2 linked regions of the Drosophila melanogaster genome follow. The protein of the gene in region 2 interacts with the protein of the main gene of each other region in a pairwise test. Each region holds a gene or a part of one and is shown on either strand. Other genes may lie near its edges.

Region 1 (7,114 bases), on a different chromosome or scaffold from region 2:
GGATACATTTTTAAATTGTCTTCGGCTACCTTAGAAATTATCAAAACATAATAGAATTCCGGAAACAAAAAGAAAATAAAGCGTCGAAGATATGCTTTCTATCAAATACATTTCAAGTTCAGGTCTACCCTACAAGTATTGTGTATAATAATTAATTAGGAATTTATAAGGAATGTACCCTAGTCTCGAAAACCATAAGGAATACTTAACCATGGTATTGGACTTATATTTCTGAAACGGAAGTTTCTTATAACGATCAATTTGTGGTGTTCTTCTAAATGTTAGTCTTATTGGGCATATTGCAGCTCCTTTTCGTTTTGCTGTTCGCGCTTCGGCTCACTAATTAAGTCAATTTACTGACAAGCTATTTAACTAATTTCCCGGGGTTTCAAAGACTGCTGTTGTAAACTCTAGTTAGAGTAGAGTAAGTCTAGTTACGCTAGTTACTCCAGTTTGTCGAATCAAATCGGGGAAGTTGAAACTCAAAGCAGAACTAAGGTAATGCAAACCGAAGTGCAAGCTAGGTGATGTCTCAACTTGTTTTAGTGTCATGAACAAGTTGTGAGTATCTTCTGTCTAAAGTGCGGAGATGTGGCTGATAGTGTTGTTGCTTCTGGAATATTTTTAATGCCGTACACGTCGCAGACATAGGCGGACGAAATTCTGTTAATTGTTTTCATTAGTCACTGCAAAACGCTGTCTTCCAATTGACATTATAAGTAGGTACGTGTGCTTATCCCAAGTAAAGTCCCCTAACATCGCTGTGGATGGCAGTTTACGTAGTGACGATGAGAACCGAGAGTCTGATCAGAGCCATTTATGTATATCGTGATCGAATAATCTTTTGATGATTTAAATCTCTTGTTGAATGATGATTAGCTAGGAAGAAGGGGGAGCAATTCTAGTTATAATTCTTGTATTTATAAAACAAGATTTGAATGACATTTTCCAAAATGTGTTTGTCTGCAAAATTTGTTAAAAAAAAGTTTAACTAATTGCCATTTTAGGACTTGAGAAGTGTCATCGTCACTTTAATCCCACATATTTGGAGGTGTTTTTTATAAAGTTTATATACAAAATGTTCGTATTGTACAAACTGGATTGCTACCAGATTAAGATACGAAATCTTGCTTTAATCCAGGAATTGTACGGGTATTGTTATTGGCGCTTAACTGTAATGTAGTAATTGTTTAAAATATTCGAAAACTGCCCAAGACATTTTGGTATTCAAGCGGCGGCCTATCTATCGGTTAGTGGCTTTTATGGTCGGTAGAAGTATATATATGCATATATATGCATATGCATATATATATATATATAATGGGAGTCAGACAAAAGTGTATGCCCTTCTATTTTGTATTTATCAATACATTTAAACCGTTTGTAATGCATTCAATAGCAAACATAATAGCAAACAATAGTATACATATAAAGGTATACTTTCACGTAAATGTAAACGTTTACGGCTCTTTTCCTAACACTTGGCTTCCGCAAATCGCAGTTGTTAGCACGCCCCATTGCGCTATTCGATGTGGAAGCGAGATCCTCTTCTAGACAAACAAACTTTTGTGTTTAAATTATTTATAAGTAGAGAGTAAGCGGTGTGAGCCAGAGCTGCGGCCACGCCGGCGAGCGTTGAGCGATTTAATGTTTGGGTAAGTTTTGGCTGAGGCTTCTTGAGGCTTCTTGAGAGTCGGGCCTCAGATCTCGGATCTGCGATCTCAGGGGATTGGCGTGTAGCCTGTAAATTCGCTGGAAACGCGGCTACGTGCGTGGCATTTGAAGAACGGTGAGCGCGAAAAAAACCCAAATGGTTTGCATATGTAAATACGGAAAGCGAAATCCCAGCTTACTGTTTGAAAGTATTTGCCACCTTAGTGGCATCCGCCGAGGAGCGCCTGAGTGGCTCCAGTCCGGGTAAGAACAATGAGCAAGCCCTTCTGGGCGGTTCAATTTATGATGTCCAATTACAGCCAACGCGGAAGCGATCGTCGATCTGGAGCCATTCACTACCATTATCCCATTATCGATCAGTAAGTCACAAGACCTCGAAAGTCGGTCCCAGAAGCGGTTTTCGTTCGACCACCTCGCCTGACTGGGAAACACTCAAGGAAACTTTTTGCCACGATCAGGATGCCCTGCGACAAGTCCAAGGCCAAAATCGGGTCATTGCAGATCCGGTTTTGTGCGAATCGTTTCCGCACTTGTTTCGAGTTGCCTTGGATTACCATTTTGTATATTTTTAGTGCAAGAAAAACTCTGGCAATTATTCGCGAAGGGCGCACTAATTGCGCTTCTGCTACTTTGGACCCAATGTCAACGGTGAAAAGCTTTACGATGCTGGCTAATTCTTATGCATTATCTCGAGGGGTCAGCAAAACAAAACCTATCGGTATATTGGGAGTCAACAGTCCAGAAACCAGAACAGCTGCTCAAACAGCATACAAATCCGCCCAGCTGTTCGTGGTCTGCCGCTGCGCTGCCAGTCAGGCCAGGGCTAAATCCCGCCGGAATCCCGCCTGCGACCACACGTCGAGGATTCTCCAGAGGTCCTCAGCATCGGATCCTCGCTGGGAATCAAATGCCCCACGCAAGCTGATTTTGTGCAACCGCCAAATGGCAGGGTTGCCACACCATTGGAAACACCGGATCGAACAGCCCGATTGGCCAGTCAAATCGATTAGCTCGGACGATCTGCGCCTTATAGCCGGGCAGATTGGCCAGAGCGGGGAGGTGTTTTGGCGTGGAGAGCGCCGTCCAAAATGCTTATTGTGAACGGACCAAGCGCCGCGCAGTTGCAAAAGAGCGAAAAACAAAAATCACATGTGCGAACAACTTACAGCTTACCACTTGCAAACAGCTCGAAATCCGCAACGGAAGGCGGCCAGCAGCAGCTCGGTTGGTAAATCGCTGGCAACCGAAATCTGAAAACTAAAAACTGCAAAAACCACAACACACAAATTGCGCGGCCCGAACTATTTCACAAAGTGTTGCCAAAGAACTTTGTAAAATGATTACTTTCGCAATAGCTTTTGGCTCTTGGCTTTCGGCTTTCGCACACGGGATCGGTGACTGCGTCTGCGATTAGCGCGCGCTTGACTTCTGAATGAAAACTGAGCCGCGATCGCGCCGCGCGGCTAATTAAACGCGGATCGCGCGACGCCGACGAAGCGGAGGCGCAGGCGCAACCGCGAGCGCCAGCGCAGGGAAGAACGCCACTGGCAGCGCAGCGGCTGCGGTGGAAACGTTACGGTCAGCGGCAAGCACCGACCGAGTGCAGTGCGAAAACTTTCCGCCGCCGAGCGTCAAGTGCAGTGCACGAAGATGGCAAATGGCCTGATTGGCTCTTGGCTATTCCCGGACACCGGGAATGATGCGACTCGATTCAGATCCGGAGATCCCGAACCCAAGACCCAAATCTGAACCCGAACCTTGTTTTTTTTTGTCTGATGTCAGCGGCGCAGGCAAGGTTCAAGTGTGGCTACCGTCGCAATAGCAATCGCACACTGCCAGCGAGTAAATATTACATGGAGTGAACTTCCGAACAGCCCCGATACCTGGCCTTTCACAGCGTTAAATCATCCATGTTAATTACGAGGCGTACGATTCCTGCCCGTGTAGGTGATCTGGCTTATAATCATGGATACGCACAGATATACGGCCTTATTCGAAACTTTGGGCCAACCGTATGACCAACAATTAAGAATTGCTTGGAACATGATGAAAGAGTTTTCGCAAAATATGGGGTGACTTAAGATTTATTGTCTAATTATCCTACAATTATATGTTCCAAATCGATAGTATTTAAGAAAATAGGGGTTTTATTTTTATAGCGGTCGTTACTCGCAGCTTTTGCCTGAATTAATAGTTTTTTTCCAACAGTTTTTTTAATTCTCCAAAGTTCATTCCTTGTAAACGAAATTCGGATACTTGGTAGTAATAATACAATTGATAATTGGTCAGGGTTCAGTGTTTGGTCACAACGCATCAAAGGGCGCGTGCCAAAGTGAGCTGGGAAATAGTTATTATTATCTAACGCTAACACTAGCCTGAAGTGCCGATAGTCTCCGTCGCAGCTCCAGCTCCAAATACGCCGGTGCATTATGATGCATTAAGTTATGTCAACTTGGCTAACATCGCGCCCTGTCCGGCTGATGCGGCAAGAGTCGAGAGCCGACAAGGTCAAGAGGGGCTTAAATATTAGCCTGTACAGCCCAGCTGTCGCCGCCTGTTAGCGGATTTGTTTGCCAAAAATTAGTACGCGTCTATTAAGTACTGGCCCATTTGTACATTAAGTCAGTGGCAATCTGTATTGTTATTTGATTTTTTCGATTGTTTGGTACGTTTCTGCACTTTTGCACAGCCGAGCGTTCAACGATCATCGTAAAAAAAAAAACAAGAGAGATCTTGACGTTTATACGGTCTATTGGTCCTGATGAAGTAATATGTTCTTTATCGAGTCAGAAAAGAACATAAACTGCCTACCTATAGTCTACCCTTTGACTCTACGGGTAATGGGTATTACATTTTAATCTGTTGTTTGAGACAAAACAATTGTGAAAAGCAAATAATCATTTGCAAACGCGTTTTTAATGACATGTAGCACAAATTATGGGCTTAGGTAAAGTATTTCAAAAAATGCTTTTTAAGGGACGAACAAGACGCCCAAAAGGTTCCAATTTAATTTTAACATATGTTTGGTAGTGGGGCTCAGCCAAATTTTTTTTTACTTTTCTCAAAGTCTTGGTATGTAATCGCTTGATCTTTTACGCTAAGATCGGACTACCATAACCGCTTTAAATTTCTTTCTTTTCAACGAATCTACATATATACCCTTTAATTCTGAAAATGACGTCATAGTACTGCAGACGCAAATAAGCTACAGGTGCAAGGCTAACTTCCTTTCTCGTTGCGGTTTAAGTTATAAACGTCGCAAGGAGTTCTTAAATTAAAGTTAAAACTTAGCAACGACGTAGTTCAAAGGACTTTTCTTGTGGAGGGAGACACTAAATATATCCTATAATATAGTGTTATTGGTTTAATAAATATAATATAGTTTTATTTGGAATATTCATGTAATTCATAAAATATTTATGATTTGGTTCACTACTTGGTCGTATAAAGTGGGAAATGTGAAATTTGATTCATGCTCAGCGTAATTCCTAATGCGATTATTTCAAGAGTTCTTTTTTATTAAAAGTTCAAAAGGCACATCAGGTGTTAGGCCTGGTGTATGCAATATTAATTCGGTAGAATTTGTAAATTAATATGTGACTTGTAAATAAAATATTACACTTGACCCATTCTCGGAAATTTTGTTAAGTAAGCAACAGGCATCTGATAGTAAAGGCATTATTTTAAAGCCTTTATTATTTCTAGATTTTCGTGGCTGGCAAGATGCCTTGTATTTCTCTGAAACAATGTCCAATCTCATTAGGGGATAGGCCACATGGGTCAATTGCCACACCCTCAGAGGCTCTAAAGCCTCTAATTATCAGTTATAAGTGGGAATACACTTAATGTGTTCGTTTATTAACAATTACACTGTACACTGGCCCCAGGGATTCAATCCCGTCATGAAAGTTATACACACGTACAAAATATGCGTTAATACAATTGAAATATTTTCTTGAACAGTTTTAATATAAATTAAAAAGCTTTATTTAGGTTTTCTATAGTTTTTGAACTTGTCAGCTTAAGCCACATAATCTAACAACGAAACCATACGCACGGATTAACAGACAGAATTACACTTACAAATAATTTGTCACCAATACTTCTCACTGCGCTGAAAAACCGTTTAACAACTTCAAACCAAAAATGGAAACAAGCGGATATTGAATAGGTAGTAATAAAGTAATATATATGAGCCACACCAAAAAGAGGTTCAATGCAATGCGAAAATAGTTGAAAACTTTTGTTAAGATTCATTTACATTGGTCGGCAACCAACTAATAAACTGATTGTCTTCGTCCTTAAGCCGGTTTGCACTTACAGTATAAAAGCTTTATCTCCATGATCTTTGTCACTCTTTCTTGTCTGACTATAGTGTGATCTTCGGTCCGGTCGTCCGTTTAGTTGTCACAATTGTCCAGGAAGGCCAAGGGGAGGTCTGGGTCGTGCTGCATTTTGCAATTGGCTAGCTAGCTACAATGTATAAATAAGTTTAACTATTAGACCTTTACAAAGTATTGCAACAAAATGCCGTTCTCTCTCAATATACAAAACAAGCTACAAATAGTATAACGTCTTCTTTGAGTTTAGAGCAGACTGAAGAGAGCATGTATAGCTTTCATATATCATAGGTTCGGCCGCCGTAACATCTCAATTTGTTATCAAAAATGTTCATACAAAATTTTACACCTAAAGTGAGTATGTATGTATGTATGTCTTTGTTGGTGTTTGTATGCGGTAAGCTACACTATAATTGGTATCTGTAGCTGGTTTAAACAGGCTTTATGGCTCTATAAATATCGTTCAAAAAATAACTTTTCTCTGCGCACCAGAGGCGTATTTGTGCTTCAAGCGGGACGTTCATACTGGTGCCGTAGGACATGTTTGTAAAAATGGTTTGATTATATCTTAGTTTGTGCTGCCGCTTCTCTTTCTACTTAGCTTTAGTTAATGACGGTTCGGGTGGGTGGGCATAGGTGGCGTTTGTTCGGTAAGTTTCGGCGCATCCGATTGACTTTTGCCATAACTGATTTTATGTATTGTACGTATTTAAAATATAAATTATCAAAAACAATCCATAAACCGAGCTCTATTAATTTTTCGCTGCTGTCGTGCCAATCGTCTTCTGCTACTTCTGCCAAGTTTCTTGCTCGTCTTGTTCTTCAATCTGGTTCAGTTACACGCTAATCACTTAACATAAACATAATGAATATCATCGTAGTACACCTAATCAGCAGTTATTTGACTTTGCGCTGGTGCAGACTAGAACTACTGCTGTCCGGGTTGAAGATGGCATCGTTGTTGGATAACACGCCCTCCTTGAAGAAGCCCTCCTTGTAGGCACCATTCGATTGCCCCTTGCTTTTGACGTACTCGTCCTCCATCACCGGCTGAAAAGAAAACACAGAGTGCTCAATGAGTTCAATGGGTTCAGACTCCA
Region 2 (7,114 bases):
GCCTGATTTCGCACACACACTCACACGCGAATGCCGGCGATAATCCAGATGATAATATTATAAATATGAGGGGAAATATGATACTTTAAGCTACAATACAGTGTTTTTTATGTTTATTTAGCAACGCTTACATAACCGGGCTACAAACCAATGACAAAGCCAGTTGAAAGTTTGGCCCCACATTGATCCATGTTGACAATTTTTGGCGGGTCGCGGAATATAAATAAAAATGCCAAGCTATTCGCATACTTTTACACTCGATTGCCCATTGCGTCGTGGTGTGTGGTCCCAAGTTCCAAGGATTGGGGGAAAGGAGATTTGTTTTCGGATTCGTTGCCGAAACAGTTTATTTTTATTGCCGCGCGGCGCGACTTCGATGCCATATCGATGGCGATGCCGCTCGGCAAGAGGCAAATGCACCCATTTGTCATTTGGACAACGAGCTGACAACAAGTTCAGTGCCACTTGTCATTGCTGAGCCGCGGAAAAATGCCCGGACAGCAGATATCCCGGTGGCAGTGGCTCTTTAAAATATACACAAACAAAAAGGGAGCTGGATCCCAAGCACCCCTTTCATCAAATTATGAAACCTTTTTTTTTGCGTAATGGACTGAACACACAAAGTGCTTTTAATTAAGCATCGATATGTGCTTAAATGTGAAATGCCCTTACATATTTAATTAAAAGGAAATGATATCCCGCTGCCATCTTCAAAGAGACTTTGTCCTCGTTTTTAATTGCGCATTTCATGCATTTTAATGCGACTGGCCACATAAAAGACAGCTCCCATAACCCGAAAGGAAATGTAATGAGCTCAAAACCAAAAAGAGAAATTTACACAAGCCAGGCGAAAATAAATAATATAAAAATGCAAACAAATTAAAAGCAAGGCAAACACATAAATTTTATATGGTTTTCAGCCGAAAAAAGAGCTCTCTGCCAGTACATTGATATGGAATTAAGCTCTCGGGCTGCTAATCAAATGTAAGCACATTTAATGTTTAAATAAACAGAAATGAGTTGATCTGGCGCAAATAGAACAGACGTAATGAAAAGGACTAAATGCTGAAAGGACCACAGCTGGCCTAAGCCTCAGTCCCAACATTTTTCTTTGATTAAGTCCCGCATAAATATTTATGTGCAGCAGCAACAAAAATGCGCATTTATTCCAAACAAAGTGGTATTTAATTGAGAAGTAAAATATAAGAAGCACGTGGTGGCAACGGCATAAAGATTGTGATTTCCATTCGAATACGAGATATCCTGGGTAAAATAATTTGTTTCCTGAAAATGTCTGAAATTAAAAAAAAAAAATAAAAAATAACCGAATGGAAATTAGTTTTAATTGCATCTTAAACTAACTAAAAAATCTTTCTGATTCAAAATGCAATAACAGAGTTTGCTGTGATGGTAGCGTTATTAAACGCATTTAAATCATCAACTCTTTAATTCCCCTCTTATTTCATGATCATAAAACTGTAAAATAAACTTCAATATGAAAGCAAACACATGCGATGTGCGATGCTTCTGTTCCCGACGAGGACGCCACTTGAAAAAATACCATAAATTGTGTTATTGAGTTAGCAGTGGGGCTCTCATCACCGAAAAAGCTGAAACAAAACACAAATACGGACCACGAGAGCCACTTTCAGACTTGGCAAACAAAACAAAGTCACCGAAGACCGAGAATTTGTGTGTATTTTGGTGGGGATATTTTTGTGTCTTCGTTTTATTTCTTTTGAAGTGCCACACAACCAAAACGGAGCACACAGCTTAGAGTATTTCGGCTTCTTTGGGGCATAATTCCCTTTAAAAACTTTAACGATTTTTAAATAATTTTTTATTGTCGAGAAATTCGCTGGGGTATGATTGGCATTCAAGAAGTTTTAAGTGCCAACATCGCGACTGTGCCTCACAAACTTTATTTGCGTCTTAGTTTAATTTCTGAGTTTATTTGGTTTGTTTGCAAAGTTGTATAAACGGTTGCGCCCATAAACCAATCTCAGTGGGGCCAACGACAAAACAATACATTTGCCATCATTAAATTAGCGACATAATTCCGTTAAAGCCAGAGTTGCGGCCATATTGGCAATTTAGCCTATGAATACCCGTGCTAAAAAACATGGACTTCAAGGACACTCCCTACCATTTTTTGTCCAGTTAATCCCATTGTTTGCCAATATTGCGTGGCAATATTTTTAAGCCGCATTTATGCGTTCGTTTATATTTAATTTGCATTCATAAATTTGCATAGGTCACCATTTCACTTCGGCAAAAACCAAAGTATAATAAACTTTTGCGTTTATTTTGCAGCATTTTGCACTGAAAAACCAGCGAAGTAAATGGCGCTAGGCAAATAAACTGGAACTGGGATTGAATTGTCACAGCTGCAATTTTTCAAATGTCAAATCAAAACAGAAAACCAATTACTTTCGATGATTAATTACCACATTCTGAGGAACAAATGCTGCAGACCGCAGAATGATTTTGATTGCGAACTGGGCTAACAGTTCGTTTGATTTATGATGCGATCAACCCTTTGCTGACAAGTCCCCGATGTGACGTGGCACTCATCCCATATTCCCAAAGGACCCCCAATCCAAAGTTTCCTGAACTTGGTCCTGCGACATGGAAATCACCTTAAAATTCATAAGTTAGTCCGGAGGGGGACAAGACAGCAAAATTTACTAAAGGTTCCTGGGGGCTCCAGGGAGAAACCGCAAGTAAAACAGCAGCTGCATGTCATTAAGTATATGGGAACCCCGGCGTAATCCTCACCACTTGGCGCCGCGCAACATGGCGGATGCGTAACGCGACCAACTTTTCAGCGCTTCATTTCTCGAACATTTAGAACACCCAATTTTTGGAGTATATGACACCTTTCCGCCGACACTGCGTTTTATTTAATATTTTTTGCCTATTTTTTTTTTTTTTTTGTTTAAAAGCTGCAGATTATGCGCACAAAAAGCGACAGTTTATGTATGAAATTATGCAAACCAGACCAGCAGACGATAATGATGGTGGTTTGAAATCCTGCGGCTGATGATGATTATTTTCCACAGTCAGGACTCTTTAAGTCCGTCAAGGCCGTCGCAAAAGTGAAAAAAGAGTTGCGCTTTGTTCAAAATAAAAGTGTTTTTTTTTTTTTTTTGGGATTTAATGATTAAAATTAAAAGTGAATTGTTATATGGCTGCATGGAAAATTCATATTTTAATTACAATTTGCTTCGGCCGTAAGTGACCCAAATTTAAATGTATAAAGAAAGAAAGGGTTCCTTTCAACCCTTTGGCAGCCGACAGTGTCCTCAGCTGCATGCCTGGTTGCATAATTATGATGCCAAACTGGTTCGCTGACCAGCAAGAAAAAGCATGCGAAAGGGAAAAACCCCAAAAGTCTAAAACCCAAGTTACTTGAGCATGACGAATGGCTTTGTTGAGTTTACCACTTTTTCAGGAGATTTTATTAAAAATTCCTTAGACACAGGTGCTGTTTGCAAAAGTTTCCAATTCTCCTTCTGCCAAATAATGGGATGGATGGTTTTATTTCTTTGGCGTTCTCTGTGTCCTTAACGCTGGTGAAACCTGTTGTCGAGGATTAAATATTAATGGCACCCATTAATATAATCTTCGGCCATCCGAAACCGATAAAATTTCCCTAATGTCGCGATATTTATTGGCTCTAATTTATGCTCGAGAGAAAGGAGCCCAAAATCAATAACACTTCTGTAATTACTCATTGATTTATTCTACTCAGCTATTCAGGGACGTATTTTCAGATTCTAGGAAAGTTAATTTTTTCGCGGAAACCGTTTTAAGCGAAACCCTCTAAGAGCGGAAGTATACGCGATCTGATATGTTCGCGAGTGCGCAGGTAGTGTTTGTCTTGCGGTTTCTGATTGGCAAGACATCCGAGCAGGTGTAAATCAATCTTAGCTCAGAGGTAACTACTCGTGTGCCTTGGAAATATAAAGATAAACAACAATATGCGTGGCCAATGGGAACGTTTTTCAATCGATTTATAAAATGCTTTTGGTAGTTGTACTTTGGTAGAACTGTATAGAATCATGTAAATTCATATTTATTAACATTTAGATCATATTTTTATAACTTTAAATATGGAAATTAAATACAAAAAAAAAATAGACAAGGATAAGATAAGGTAAATTTATTCATTTTGAGCAAATAAATATGGTTTTCCATCCATAGTTTTTTAACATGACACGTGGAAATTTAAAAATAAATATAATAAGTCTGCCCCATCCAACCCTTTTCTTCCCAAAAATAACAGTTTGAAATTTATTATCAAATGATATATTATAAAGTTATTATTATGGAAGGTACTGAATCAGGTTTGACCTCTTTCTTCTCTTTTTCGCAGCAATAAATTACGCATAAAATTAATTCCAGGTAATGTTATAAAAACAAAGTAAACAAAATCCAGGGATCCTTCGTCAAACTTACCCAATGCACAACGGCATGTAAATCGAAAATTACCAGAAATTGTCACTTTACATCACGCCTGCTGCAGGACCTATAAATCATACTGCACACACACTTATGCACGGGCGACACAGGAGCCACAATCTGGTCTAGTATTTTGGCAGCGCAGATCCTTTCGGGTATGAGTGTGCGAGTGAATATTCAAATCAGTTGCTGGCTGCCAATAAATGAAACTTGCCACACATCTCACTCACTGAGCGCACATACACAAACACACGCCCACACACACTCTTAAATTGTGTCGGGATATTTGAATGGTCCCGTGTATTTAGCAAATGAACCGTACTTTCTGTTCTGTTTAACTTTTTGGCAACCCGCACTAACCAAATATTACAGACTTTAGCACGGCAAAGCGATCGGCGAACGGGAATCAAGCTAAATGCCAGATGAATGGCACCGTCATTACGACTTTCGCAACTCTCGGGCTGCCAATTAACTCGCCCGATAATTTAATTACGGTTAGGGCCTCCAGGATTGGGTCCTGATGTGTTGCCAAGTCTTATCGGCCAGATCTGCGGCAGAGCAATCCTACGGATGAAATACGCTAAAATCACTGGGCTGATTAAGCCGAATCGAACTGCAATCCGCACTCTGCGCGAGCCAAACGTACACTGAAGTCGGCCGAAAGCGCGCTGAAAGTTAAATCGGAAGTCGAGAACGCGGCTGGAGCTTCCAACGGCTCGAGACAGTCCGAGCGGCACTTGCAACATGTTGCAAGTTCGTGTGTGACTTCGGGAATTCTATGTTGTTGAGTCCGGACTTTCGATCTTTGAATTTCTTTCGTTGTAGGGAGTTACTTCTGTTAGCATATTTTTTAATTTTATGTTAACCATTTAAGATACAAACATGAGAGAATGCTATAGTCGAGTTCCCTAACTTTTAGATGCCCCTTACTCAGCTAGTGGGAATACGAACGCGAAATTCGATCATTTTTCTGGGATATCGATGAATGTGAAAACATTTAAAAATTGTTCTAAAGTCTGGGCGTTAGAGTGGGCATGGCAAAAAGTTTTGTGTCTAATCGATAAGAATTAACAAGACTAATAAAATTATAAACAAATTTGATTTGGGCGGTTTGTCGTTAGAGTGGGCGTGGCAACAGGGCCAAAAAATCTGTGCTGCGTCTATGTCTCTAGAATCTGTCCGCTTAATCACAACCTTCTTGCTTTTATAGTTCCTATGATTCTTTCATACGGCCGGCAAGACAGGCGAACATAGCCAGATCTACTCGGTTTTGTATCTTAATTAAATGGAAATTCCTTCTATTTGTTTCAACGAATCTAGTGTACCCTTTTACTCCACGAGTACCTGGTATAAATAGTACTTCTTAGGGTGACAATCCTAAGCAAATATCCAATTTGGAAATCATGGAAATCGGACAATGATTGTTGGCGCGTTGAAATGGTACTTTTTATCGCAGTGTGACCTTTGGCACTTAAAATACTGGTATTGTGTCCTGGAACTTTCAAGATTTTTTGACATATGTTCAAACAGCTTTCTTGTAAATTTGCAAATAAAAAGCAAGGAAACGGGTTCAACTGAATTTGTAAAAAGTTGTAAGTTCCAAGGCAGAATTCATTGGTAGTATTAAAACTGCAAAAACAGGTGCGATTTCAAATGGGTGATTCCAGCGACTCAGACTCTTCTACTGAATGGGAGCAGAACACTAGGGTTATTTCCTTACCCTTTTCCAGAAACCGTTCACATTTGAGCTCTCGCCTCAGTTACCTGGTAAGTTCATGTTCACCCAGCTCTGAAATCTATTGATAATACACTTTATGGAATAGGTGGGACTTCAAATGGAAAACTTCAGGACCTCGAATAATTCTGGAGTATCACAGCGAATCCATAACACCGGGCCCACTCCCGTACTCGCGCCCTCCGGATTAAGATCCCGCTTACTCAGCGGTTCCTCTGTAAGTTATTGTTCTAGCCAGGTCCCACCCAGAATCCATTGGTTACATTACAACATCATTTAATAGGAGCGGAATCCAAATGAGTATTACGGAGACTCGGACTCCTCAAGCAGCAGCAGATCTATCGACAGAACCCCATTCCTGGTAAGTTCTTGTTCGTTCATCTCGATCCGGAATCCATAGGTTTTAATAGCTTTAACTTTGTTGTGCAGTTGGAGTATTCCAGCGACTCAGAGTCGTCTAGTTCCAGTGATAGTGAAAGCTCATCGACCAGCATTAGCTTCGATAGCAGTATGAGCTCCACCGAATCATCAACACCAATGGGACATACAGAATCCTCAGATTCAAACGAGGATTCTCCTCCCAACAAACGGATCAAATCAGATGACGAGGAGTCCAAGAAATCTGTCTTGCCCTACAACTGCCCTGTGTGCCTGGAAGATGTCCGCGAGAAGCTACCAGTGTCCACCAATTGTGGCCACGTTTTCTGCAAAGCGTGCATTAAGAGAGCTGTCGACACTGGCAGGGTATGCCCATTGTGCGGAGTGGATGAGCCCGAATTCCATCGTATTTTCTTGTAAGACGTGATATGGCAGAAAGCATACTAAACTAAAAATACCACGGTTTTAAATACCACAAATAGACTTGTGGCATATACTTTCGAAAGACCGTAACACAATATTCACACCTAAAGAAAC

Evidence for each region.
Region 1: the proteins of rdo (region 2) and CG31522 interact in a two-hybrid assay, tested with the Drosophila melanogaster proteins (one large-scale study listed by BioGRID).

Annotation. Positions count from the first base shown.
Region 1 is NT_033777.3:4,459,780-4,466,893, forward strand, and holds the start of CG31522 (uncharacterized protein), read right to left. Parts: upstream 3,105-7,114; 5' UTR 2,848-3,104; exon of another isoform or gene 2,841-2,847; intron 1-2,840. Other genes in the region: CG31523 (uncharacterized protein), read right to left, coding at 6,912-7,064.
Region 2 is NT_033779.5:18,010,380-18,017,493, reverse strand, and holds the start of rdo (reduced ocelli), read right to left. Parts: upstream 5,115-7,114; 5' UTR 4,462-5,114; intron 1-4,461. Other genes in the region: elfless, read left to right, coding at 6,118-6,231, 6,288-6,416, 6,483-6,560, 6,629-6,997.